Linked DNA regions of Drosophila melanogaster. The protein of the gene in region 3 interacts with the protein of the main gene of each other region in a pairwise test. Each region holds a gene or a part of one and is shown on either strand. Other genes may lie near its edges.

Region 1 (3,155 bases), on a different chromosome or scaffold from region 3:
TCAACTGTCGCATGGTTGTTTGCTTCTGCCACGCCCTTGGGCATGGGCAAGCTCTATTATTATTTTCGCAAGTTATATAAAAATAATAACAGGAGCGGACACGGAGCTGACCAGGCCAATGGATGGCCATCCATTATGCTGCCGGGCATTTATTTGCCAAACAATTGAATCTCTCCCCAGCTCCTTGGGCAGCTTGCAACCACTTCATCAGCCATCCTCGTTTGCAGCTATCTTATGGTTTATGATGGAATCAAAACAAATGCCGGAGCTACGATAGCTCGGCTTTGCTCGTCCGGAACCTCGAGCTCATCCTTCAGCTGGTGAGGATGATGATGATGAGTTTGTTTATGCAGATTGCTTGTGGAGTTTTTCCTTTGGCGTTAATGGATAAATGGACGTGTGAGTGTGTGCGTGGGTAACCCTTTTTGAGGATTTTTCCGGGGAGCTGCGCCACTTTCGAAATCTAGTTGGTAATGTAAACAAAATGATTTTAATTGCACAGATGAACGGTTTTCATTTAAATTTATTGATACCAAGCAATGGAAACACTTAATTTTACGGTCTTTATTAAATTGCGAAATTATTTAAGTACACTTTTTTAATAGCTTAAAAACATTGGTCAGCACTAAAATAATAATCCAATAATTTTGTAGGATATTGGAGTTTTCTTGTCTTAGTTTAAGCAATAGATTGCGGTTTTTAGTGTGCAAAACATTTTCCGGTTTCGAAAACTTAATTTTATCTCTTTTCACTTAACTTTTTTTGACGCACACATTTCAATTAAAATTGTATTGTTTTCTTTTACTTTGCTCTGCTCTGTTTACTTGGGCGAGCGCTTCCTCCGGCTACTTGTTTTCCCATTCATCCCAGGGTATTGGAAGGGTATTGGAAACGGTCCTGGCCGTTGTCCAGGTCCTGCTCCTGGTCCAGAATACCCACCTGCGCTGGCCTGTACCGTTCCAACGGATGTGGGCGGTGGCATACCAGGTGGTGGTGGAGGGAAAGGCGGAGCTGGTCGTATCGGCGAAGCTCCGCTCAGATACCCATAGCCCATGGGACTTCCAGACGTCGCGGAATTTTGATCACTTTGATAGATATACACATTGCTGTTCCCCTGAGCCTGCTGCTGATTCAGAGGCATGGTGTAAAATCCTGCAGGTGTAGCGTAGTAACCTGGTTGAGGACCAATAGCCGCCAGGCTGCAGCCATATACAGGACAATTGTAATAACCAGATATGGGATAGGCGGGGCCGGCGAATATGGGATCCGGATTGTGAGAGGCCATCCAGCGGTTACGCCAACGACGAAACAAAGTACCCAGAAAGAAAAACGATCGTCCATCGATTGGTTCTGGTCCTGTATGATCTGGTTCCTCATCCACATCCAAGTCGGTTTTCTGAGATCCATTGCTGTTGACCAGGATCAGCAAAAATAAAATCTGGAGCACTGCCATTTTCCCAACTGCATCTGCTGAAATCTGTAGGCGGACTACTTTGCGTCCGATCTCAACTCCAACTCAGTGAGTCCCACGAAGACAGGCTGCCTAATGGGCCTTGTAATGAACATTCAAGTGCTGTAACTTTGGCAAAGCAAACAAAGCGTGAAATTTTATTAATACAAAAACATTCAAGGCTGCCCCAGTTACCGACCGAAATCTGTACAAGTATTAAAATGCATATCCGAAAATGTATATCTTAAGTTAAGTTAAGTATTTGAATAAAAATTATATAAAACGATTTCCTTTTTTAGGCATTCATTTTATTTATTTTCATTTCATTTATATGAAAACCCAAAATTAAATTAAAACTAAAGCAAAGATTGCCAAATTTATCTAATTAAAACGCTAAACCACTATTTCTTTATACATACAGTCCAAAATAGTTAGCGGCGCTCACATCGGGGATGTAGCTCAGATGGTAGAGCGCTCGCTTAGCATGTGAGAGGTACGGGGATCGATGCCCCGCATCTCCAGAAGGTTTATTTTTATTTTATATTTCCGGAATTTACATATTGGTTTAAAAAAATTTAAAAATAGGTATAAAAAAAAGTTGCAGTGATTTCCCAAGTATGCATCCCTAAAAATGTTCTCCTTTCCCACGTAAATACTCGCGAGCCGCACGTACGAGCAATCTTTCATTATTAAATGTACAGAAAAACTCGAAGTTTTTGACTTTTGCTGCTTGATTTTATTTTGCCGCATTACATACTTTTGTGAGGGCAACAAAAACCGTTTTGAGTTATGAGTTCTGCGTGCCAGGTGTACTAACATTTTAAGCAGTTGAAGATAATGCGACGCCTAAACACCCTGTAAGGCTGTGCTGCTCAAGAACTCTATACTCATTGAATCAGGAAAAACACCAACTTCTGAGCCATGCCCGCATACCCAACTTTTAGCGGGAGGCCTGCGAATAAAGTGTGCAAAAAACAGGTGACAACAATCAGTACGAGGTAAAAAAGGAGGTGGCGCACGTCCGTGTCTGGAAAAACAAAAACAAGAACCACCAAGGGCTGTGAAAATTCACGCGCCCGTGAAAATTTCGCACGTTTTTACGGACCATGAACTTCATACACCCCGACCAGATATTCTTTCAAAATATGAGTTATGGCTGCATAGATTAGCTGGCAACTATTTGATTTCTCCAACACGAAATTCATTTAATTAAAAAAATACGCAAAGTCAACAGAAAAACTAACTAAACTTTCCACAAACTTTGTTGCCATCAAAACAATAAAAACCACAATCCTCGGCCGGGCTTTGCCTTTGTTATCGAAGCTCGAAACGGACAATGGAGTGTCCTTTTTTACGACAATGCCAAATCCGGCGGAACCACATAAATTATGTTAATGCCTCAGCTATGTACACGCCCACTGTGTGCGACTTTGGCCGAACTGACCGTCCAGGATAATCAGAAAAATACACAGCACACATCGTCCTGGACGAGGGACATTTGCTTAGTGGTTTTGTGAGATAGTTTCTGGGCTGTCCTGTACATTGAGAAAATTGCTGACAATTGCTAAAAATCTCGGGTGACGATGAGGCTTGGATCAGCTTTTTTTTGGGGTGGGCGTTAGAGCATTGCGAATGATATATGTATGCTTGAACACATGTTGTTGGGGCCCAGAAACTGAGCTTATATCGTCTGGGCAAATATTAG
Region 2 (2,782 bases), on a different chromosome or scaffold from region 3:
CAGTCAAGTAAGTTAAGTGCAAATATATAATATAACTTTTAAGAAATGCCCAATTATGTATGTCCAATTTATATTCGCTACGCAAAAGATATGAAAGATTTTGTTACGTAATTGCTTAACTGTGGTAATTAGTATAAAAGACCACGGCCTCTGGCTGCAGACATCAGTTGTCCAGCCACTGGCCATCCAACATGCGCTACTCCTGTGTTCTTTTACTTCTGGCCACCGTTGCCTGTCTGCTAATCCCACAGACAGGTGGCTCCACGGCCACCACAACCTCAACTTCTGCTTCGGCTACCACCACCACTTCCGCCTCGGCCACGACAACCACTGCGTCGGATACAACTACTACCACAGCGGCTACCACAACCACTTCGTCCTCCTCCTCAAAGAGTAAAAAGAAGAAGAGGACGTATCACTATACACGTCATGTTTATAGGCCAAAGCGGATACGACATATCTATAGGCACAAGGCCGACGACGACGAAAGCTCTACCGATCGCACCAGCACACGCAGCCGTCGTCGTCGCCGCAGCAGTAGCAGCAGTAGCAGCAGTGGCAGCACCAGTAGCCGCAGTGGTAACAGTCGCATCCGCCGCAGGAGAGCCCGAAGTGCCCGACGCCTGTCTTAGTGACCACATCTTGTACAACAAACCAACTGATCTGATCGTGACGCCTTTGAAAATGTAGTTTTTCTTTTTGGTTTTCTTTTTTCCGTTCAAAACACTTAAGGCAAATAAAATGAATATTTCGATATTAGTTCATTCTGCTTATCAATGCCGCTTAAAGCATTTACTTATGCTTTTACTTATGCATTTACTTTACAAAACAGATCGAGATAAGAAGCATCACTTGTTGTTTAAAGTGTATGTCAAGTTCGTTACAACGTATAATTAACCATTGAAATTTTGATCAAATAGTTACTTTCAGAAAAAATATAAAGGGCATACTCCTACAATAAATGCTATATATTATAATCTTAAGTATTATTATCTACCCCAGACGTTATTTAATATAGTTAATAATAGCGCTTTCCTAAGCTACGTACACAATGTGTTTGTTTGTCTATAATTCAGACAAGCTACAAATGAAAGTAAACAATTTATGGCAAAATCATTTTAATTGGTTAATATTTTTCCATTATTTGCTTAAGAGAATAAGTTTAAAGCTGATGTGTTCCGTGTTTTAAAAGCCGTAGTATACTTTTTAGGGGAAATTATTTAAGTGGCAGAATATATAGTTGAATATAGTATAGTATATAGTATATATATAGTAAAGAATCTATATATATAGTATAGTATATAAAGTTGAATTTTTCTGCAGTTTTTACAATGCGTTTATCGTATATAGATTTAACCTAAGTCATTTGCATTTATTTAAAAACCAAGTAACGGTTGACAAAACTAGACTTCCGTTGGCATTAGTGGCTTAAGTGATTTTTATAATAACAGTTAATAAATTTTCGCAAAATGACAAGCTCCATACAAAAATAGATTATCATGCCTCTTGTACATGTGCAAATTTTATCTGTTTAAACAATTGTGCCAATACGAAAAATAGCGAATTTTTGTTTGGCCAAAAATAACATCTTTTCTTTGGCTGACACAGTTTGGCCGAAGAGGATAAACCCAGTAGAGAAGACTACTATAAAAGCTGGCTTTCGTTCTTCAAGACAGCATCAGTAGCAAGGCATCTATTGTAGCATTTGCTCACCATGAAGATCACCGTGGTACTCGTACTTCTCGCCACCTTCCTCGGCTGTGTGATGATCCACGAGTCGGAGGCGTCCACAACCACCACGTCCACCTCCGCCTCGGCCACTACCACTACTTCCGCTTCGGCGACCACCACTACTTCCGCTTCGGCCACCACCACCACTTCCGCTTCGGCCACCACAACAACAGCCTCACCTTCCTCGAGCTCAAAAAAGAAGACTGTCACTCACTATAAGCGAAAGGTCAAGAGGCCAAAGAAGGTCAGGAAAATCACAAGGAGAAGGGGTCTCAGGAGCCGCAATGGTCGCAGCAGTAGAAACCGCAGATCGGAAGAATAAGAGATCCAGGACCAATAGAAAATCCACGCCACTCTCAATGCTGAACCCCAGGAACCAATTGTTTTCTTTTTTTTTTATTTCTTAGTCCATAAGCTTAACTAACACTACAATAATTCTTTTACAAGTCAATTAAGAAATCATAAAAAAATATACATATTTTGTGACATGTCAGTCAAATGTTATTTATTCAGTTATTGGCCAAACAAAATTTAGCAACTAGTTGTTTTGCACAATTGTTTAAACATTTGAAATGCCTTTACTTTATAAATAAATATATGATGCGCATAAATGTGTAAGTTCTTGTATATTTTTTTTAACATCTATAGTGATTTAGCTAATCATTTTATATTAATTTTCAGAACAAATATTTTATTCATGATCATCTGAATGTGAATGCGAAATCTGAAATCCTTTTTAATAAGTTGATTAAAATGCAGACGAGCATTAAACATTTATTCGTCAAGGCTTTTCTGGGCCTCAAAAGTTGCGTTTCCATTGAAATCCATTAGCACAAAACCGAACTCGAGGAAACCCGCAAAAGCCCCAAAAGGAAAATTTGTGCAAGCGGCAAAATACTCGTAAGCAAAAACTTTTCAGCCCAAAAAAGCGAATGGGGAAATTCGAAAAGCTGTTGCCATAGATACCGCACACTCACACACATATATATATATATAGGTACATATATGTATGTATGTATGTATGTGAGAGGAAAAACATTAAGAGAAAAAA
Region 3 (4,376 bases):
TCCACTGCCACCATCAGTGCCCCCGCCGCAACCACCTCCGCCCGAAGAGTGCGAAGATGGCGAACTGACAGCGCGCTCGCCATCTCCAAGCCTGGAAGATTTGAAGGCCCAGCAGGAGGAGCTCCTCCAAGAGCTGGATGTTAATGCGTCGCATAACACGACAGCGAATGAATCGAAATCACCAACCGACCTGGATGACACGTCTGAGACGGAGGTTGGTCCATCTGCTGCCGAGTCCGGAAATAATGAGCAGTCCCGATCAGCACCCTCGACTCCCTTTAAGGCGTCTTATGAGGGCACGCCTTTGCTGAAATTCTCCGTTTACGACAGACTGCCTGTGGGCAGCAACTTTAAGGTGGGCGTCAGCGATGTGATCAACTTTGAAAACCTGCCCGACTCCACGGGAAAGTACGAACAAATGAAGGATCTGCTAAAGAACGTACGCGAAAAGATGGTGAAACTGCAGAACGAGAACTGACGAGACCAGGGAGACGGCAATACAAACCACATCAATTCCCGCCCACCATATGTACATTTTAAAGATTTTAAAGCCTCTTGTACAAAGGAAATACACAAGGAAAGCGGTTAGTTTTCCAAAGTCTTTTAAAAAGTGTCCAAATATGTTAGTTGATAAGCCGGTGTGTTTCAGAGTGCGCGGTTTTGTGTTTTGTACAATGTAAGAGGTGTATAATTTGCCTAATCTGTGTTCTGTGTAAACGTGCGAATGGATGCCACCAAGTCGATTGATTTGGTTCTATCCGTGGTTTCTGTCCCAATAGTGGGAGAATTAACAAAACAAGGAATTGCGGTCTGAAAATTGTGTTGTGGATGCTCAGGTTTCGTAGAAGCAGGGGTCCTCGGAGTCGCCTAGTTGATGGCCGGCGGAGGAGGCTGCGGCGGAGAGCCGTCCTGGTTATTGTCGCGTCGGCCGCCAGCTCGCTTGTTGCTGGTGAAGTTGCCCCAGGTACTCGGGTTCACTATGTACATGAACATGGCCACGATCAGGAAGATCATGGCGACGGAGAAGCCGCTGTCATCGCCGCGTCCGGCGATCTGCGCCTGGTGCGGAGTGCGTCCGGTGACTGAGGACGGATGGATTAGTTATGGTTTATACTATAGTCCGCAAGTAGAAGCACTGCATACTTTTTGGCAACTTATCACTAAGCGCGTATGACCCTAGTCTATACTGAATTGTTTTAAAAATGCAAATGCGAAAAATGAATGTTACAATCTTCACTTGAGTAAAAGACTGTTACTGATTTCATGCTGTGCAAAATGTATTATAAATCTAAATGTTTTCATACTTAAAAAAAGACGTGAGACATTGATACTGACCATCGTAACACTCGTTGTCCCCGCAGGCATTCTGGTTTTGTCGTATCTATAAGGAAGTACACTTGATCAAATGAGCTGGGAGCTGCGCGCACAGAAACTTACGAAGTTGATGAGGCGTTGCATCGCATACTCCTGCGACCAGACGCACTCGCAGCCATCGAAGTCGTCGGACATGGTTTCGGATTAGCCTTAGTCTGAGTTGCGCTGCGGAGATCGGAGTAGGTTATACTATAGGGAAAACTGAGTGTGGAATTGCAAATACTACATTTTGCCTGCTGCCACTGACACTGACGTGTCTGTTCGGAGATCGAGAGAACTGTTTCCAAACAAAACGAACCGAACTGAGACTAATTTATTTGCGGCCGCAATCGAGTTTTATACATGCATACTCATATGGTTCCGATAAAGGGGCTTTCAAATCGCGAGTGCGGAGCGAGTCGGTCGTATGTACTGGTACCTATATGTCTGGACTATGTTGTTCTGCCACTTGGGTCCCACAGAGCACAGCTTCAATTTTGGGGCAGCTGGGAGCAAATAACTTACACACTTGACAGCTAACGCCAGTTGAGCAGAGGGATTCAACTGTGCAAAGGGTCCACCCCAATGCCGCCCCACTTAGTGTATACACACACGTAAACCCGATTGCTTGGTGTGTAGGTATTTGACTCAAAAACACGATTATCAGAAGAAACAAGACGTCTAGTTTTAATTGCCAGCGAGAGCGAGGGCCCTTATCACACTTAATTACAAGGCCTTTCCGTTGGAAACTCCCCGATTGAACCAAAACCACCCCGAAAACGGTATCTGGCTTTAGAAAACGTAAACACAACTTTCCCCTTTTGTTTTTGTTGCCACAAAGGGGGCGTAAACAAACTCATCTGCGGGCGTTTGGCAATTAAGTGTCGTTACCTTGCGGGTCTTAACACTCTAATATGCTCCGATTTGGAATGGTAAAAGAATTATGATACAATTTCACTGCCACAACGTAACAATTACACTTTTCTTACCAACTGGAATTGGAATGGGAATAAAAAGTGCACATATGGTAGTGCTGGACAGCGACCAGAACTGGAGGCATATATCGGTGGAGCTGCCAGTGCTTGAAAGTTTCCATTCAGTGGGCGGGAAATTCAAAACTGTTTGATTTGGAATCTACTTCATCCTGCAACTCAAACAGCTAAAATGACTTGAGTTATTTGCTAATATACACTAGGTTAATGGAAGAGTAATATGACATTTGTCTTCTTGAGCTTTGGTTTGATGGGGTGGATGGCAATTAATCCATTATCCTTTTAAATGCAACCTGAAAATATTTTTGCCTTGTCATGTGGGCATTCTACGCAGCCTATAAAAGCATTTTCCCGCTGCCTTATGGTAATTAAAATGATTTCTTTTCTGCTGGTGTCAGTTCTTCTGTGCTTGGTCGGGGCTTCTGACTCGGAATCCATGCAAGTCCAAGTACTCCAGGATCTCAATTTGGCTCTCCAAACGGAGCTCAATGTGTTCATCGATTTTGAGTGCTGCGCCACCTCAGAGATACTCCACAAATTGGACTCGCCGAGAATTTTACTCTCCTCCAACTCGAGGGAAGCTAGAGATCTTAGAATTCGGGGAAACTTCACAGAGAGTACCCTTATCATAGTAAGTGTAATGGATTCAGATCTGAATCCACTGGTTGCCAGTCTTCTGCCACGCTTGTTGGACGAGCTCCATGAGCTGCACATAGTGTTCCTGAGCAATGAGGAACCAGGATTTCCGAAACAGGACCTCTACACCTACTGCTTCAAGGAGGGATTCGTAAATGTAATTCTGATGAGCGGAAAGGGCCTCTACAGCTACCTACCGTATCCTAGCATTCAACCGATCAGCCTATCAAATGTGTCCGAGTATTTCGATCGCGCAAGGATAATTCGAAACTTTCAAGGCTTTCCTGTCCGCATACTTCGAAGCACATTAGCTCCTCGGGACTTTGAGTACTCCAACGAACAGGGTGGCTTGGTGCGAGCAGGATATTTGTTCACAGCGGTCAAGGAGCTGACTTATCGCTATAACGCCACCATCGAGAGTGTACCCATACCCGATCTGCCGGAATATGATGTATACTTGGCCGTTGCTGAAATGCTACATACAAAAAAGATCGACATTGTTTGCTACTTCAAAGATTTCAGCTTGGAAGTGGCCTACACAGCACCACTTTCGATTATCCGCGAGTACTTCATGGCTCCCCACGCCCGTCCGATTTCCAGTTATCTGTACTACTCCAAGCCCTTCGGCTGGACCCTTTGGGCGGTCGTGATTTCGACTGTCTTGTACGGAACCGTAATGCTGCATCTGGCTGCGCGAGGAGCACGAGTCGAGATTGGAAAGTGCTTGCTGTACAGCCTCAGCCACATCCTATACAACTGCCACCAGAAAATCAGAGTTGCTGGCTGGAGGGACGTGGCCATCCATGGCATTCTAACGATCGGAGGCTTTATACTGACCAACGTCTACTTGGCCACGCTCTCCAGCATCCTCACATCCGGGCTGTACGACGAGGAGTACAACACTCTGGAGGATCTGGCCAGGGCTCCCTACCCCAGTCTGCACGACGAGTACTACAGAAGTCAGATGAAGGCGAAAACCTTCCTGCCCGAACGGCTCCGCAGGAACAGCTTGAGCTTGAACGCCACCCTGCTAAAGGCGTACCGGGATGGGCTCAATCAGAGCTACATATACATATTGTACGAGGACCGCCTGGAGCTGATCCTGATGCAGCAGTACCTGCTGAAGACGCCGCGCTTCAACATGATTCGCCAGGCCGTGGGTTTTACCCTCGAATCCTACTGCGTGTCCAACAGTCTGCCGTACTTGGCGATGACCAGTGAGTTCATGAGGCGCCTGCAGGAGCACGGGATCAGCATCAAAATGAAGGCGGACACTTTCCGGGAGCTCATCCATCAGGGAATCTATACCTTGATGCGCGATGATGAGCCGCCGGCTAAGGCATTCGACCTGGACTACTACTTTTTCGCATTTGTTTTGTGAACTGTGGGACTGAT

Evidence for each region.
Region 1: the proteins of CG13585 (region 3) and CG14323 interact in a two-hybrid assay, tested with the Drosophila melanogaster proteins (one large-scale study listed by BioGRID).
Region 2: the proteins of CG13585 (region 3) and ng2 interact in a two-hybrid assay, tested with the Drosophila melanogaster proteins (one large-scale study listed by BioGRID).

What each region holds. Positions count from the first base shown.
Region 1 is NT_033777.3:17,620,648-17,623,802, forward strand, and holds CG14323 (uncharacterized protein), read right to left. Parts: upstream 1,466-3,155; 5' UTR 1,454-1,465; coding exon 821-1,453; 3' UTR 552-820; downstream 1-551.
Region 2 is NC_004354.4:3,239,467-3,242,248, reverse strand, and holds ng2 (new glue 2), read left to right. Parts: upstream 1-1,677; 5' UTR 1,678-1,714; coding exon 1,715-2,053; 3' UTR 2,054-2,223; downstream 2,224-2,782. Other genes in the region: ng3 (new glue 3), read left to right, coding at 192-632.
Region 3 is NT_033778.4:24,529,603-24,533,978, reverse strand, and holds CG13585 (uncharacterized protein), read right to left. Parts: upstream 2,386-4,376; 5' UTR 2,343-2,385; intron 2,335-2,342; exon of another isoform or gene 2,245-2,334; intron 1,868-2,244; exon of another isoform or gene 1,601-1,867; intron 1,540-1,600; 5' UTR 1,510-1,539; coding exon 1,438-1,509; intron 1,382-1,437; coding exon 1,336-1,381; intron 1,083-1,335; coding exon 868-1,082; 3' UTR 588-867; downstream 1-587. Other genes in the region: CG4622 (uncharacterized protein), read left to right, coding at 1-478.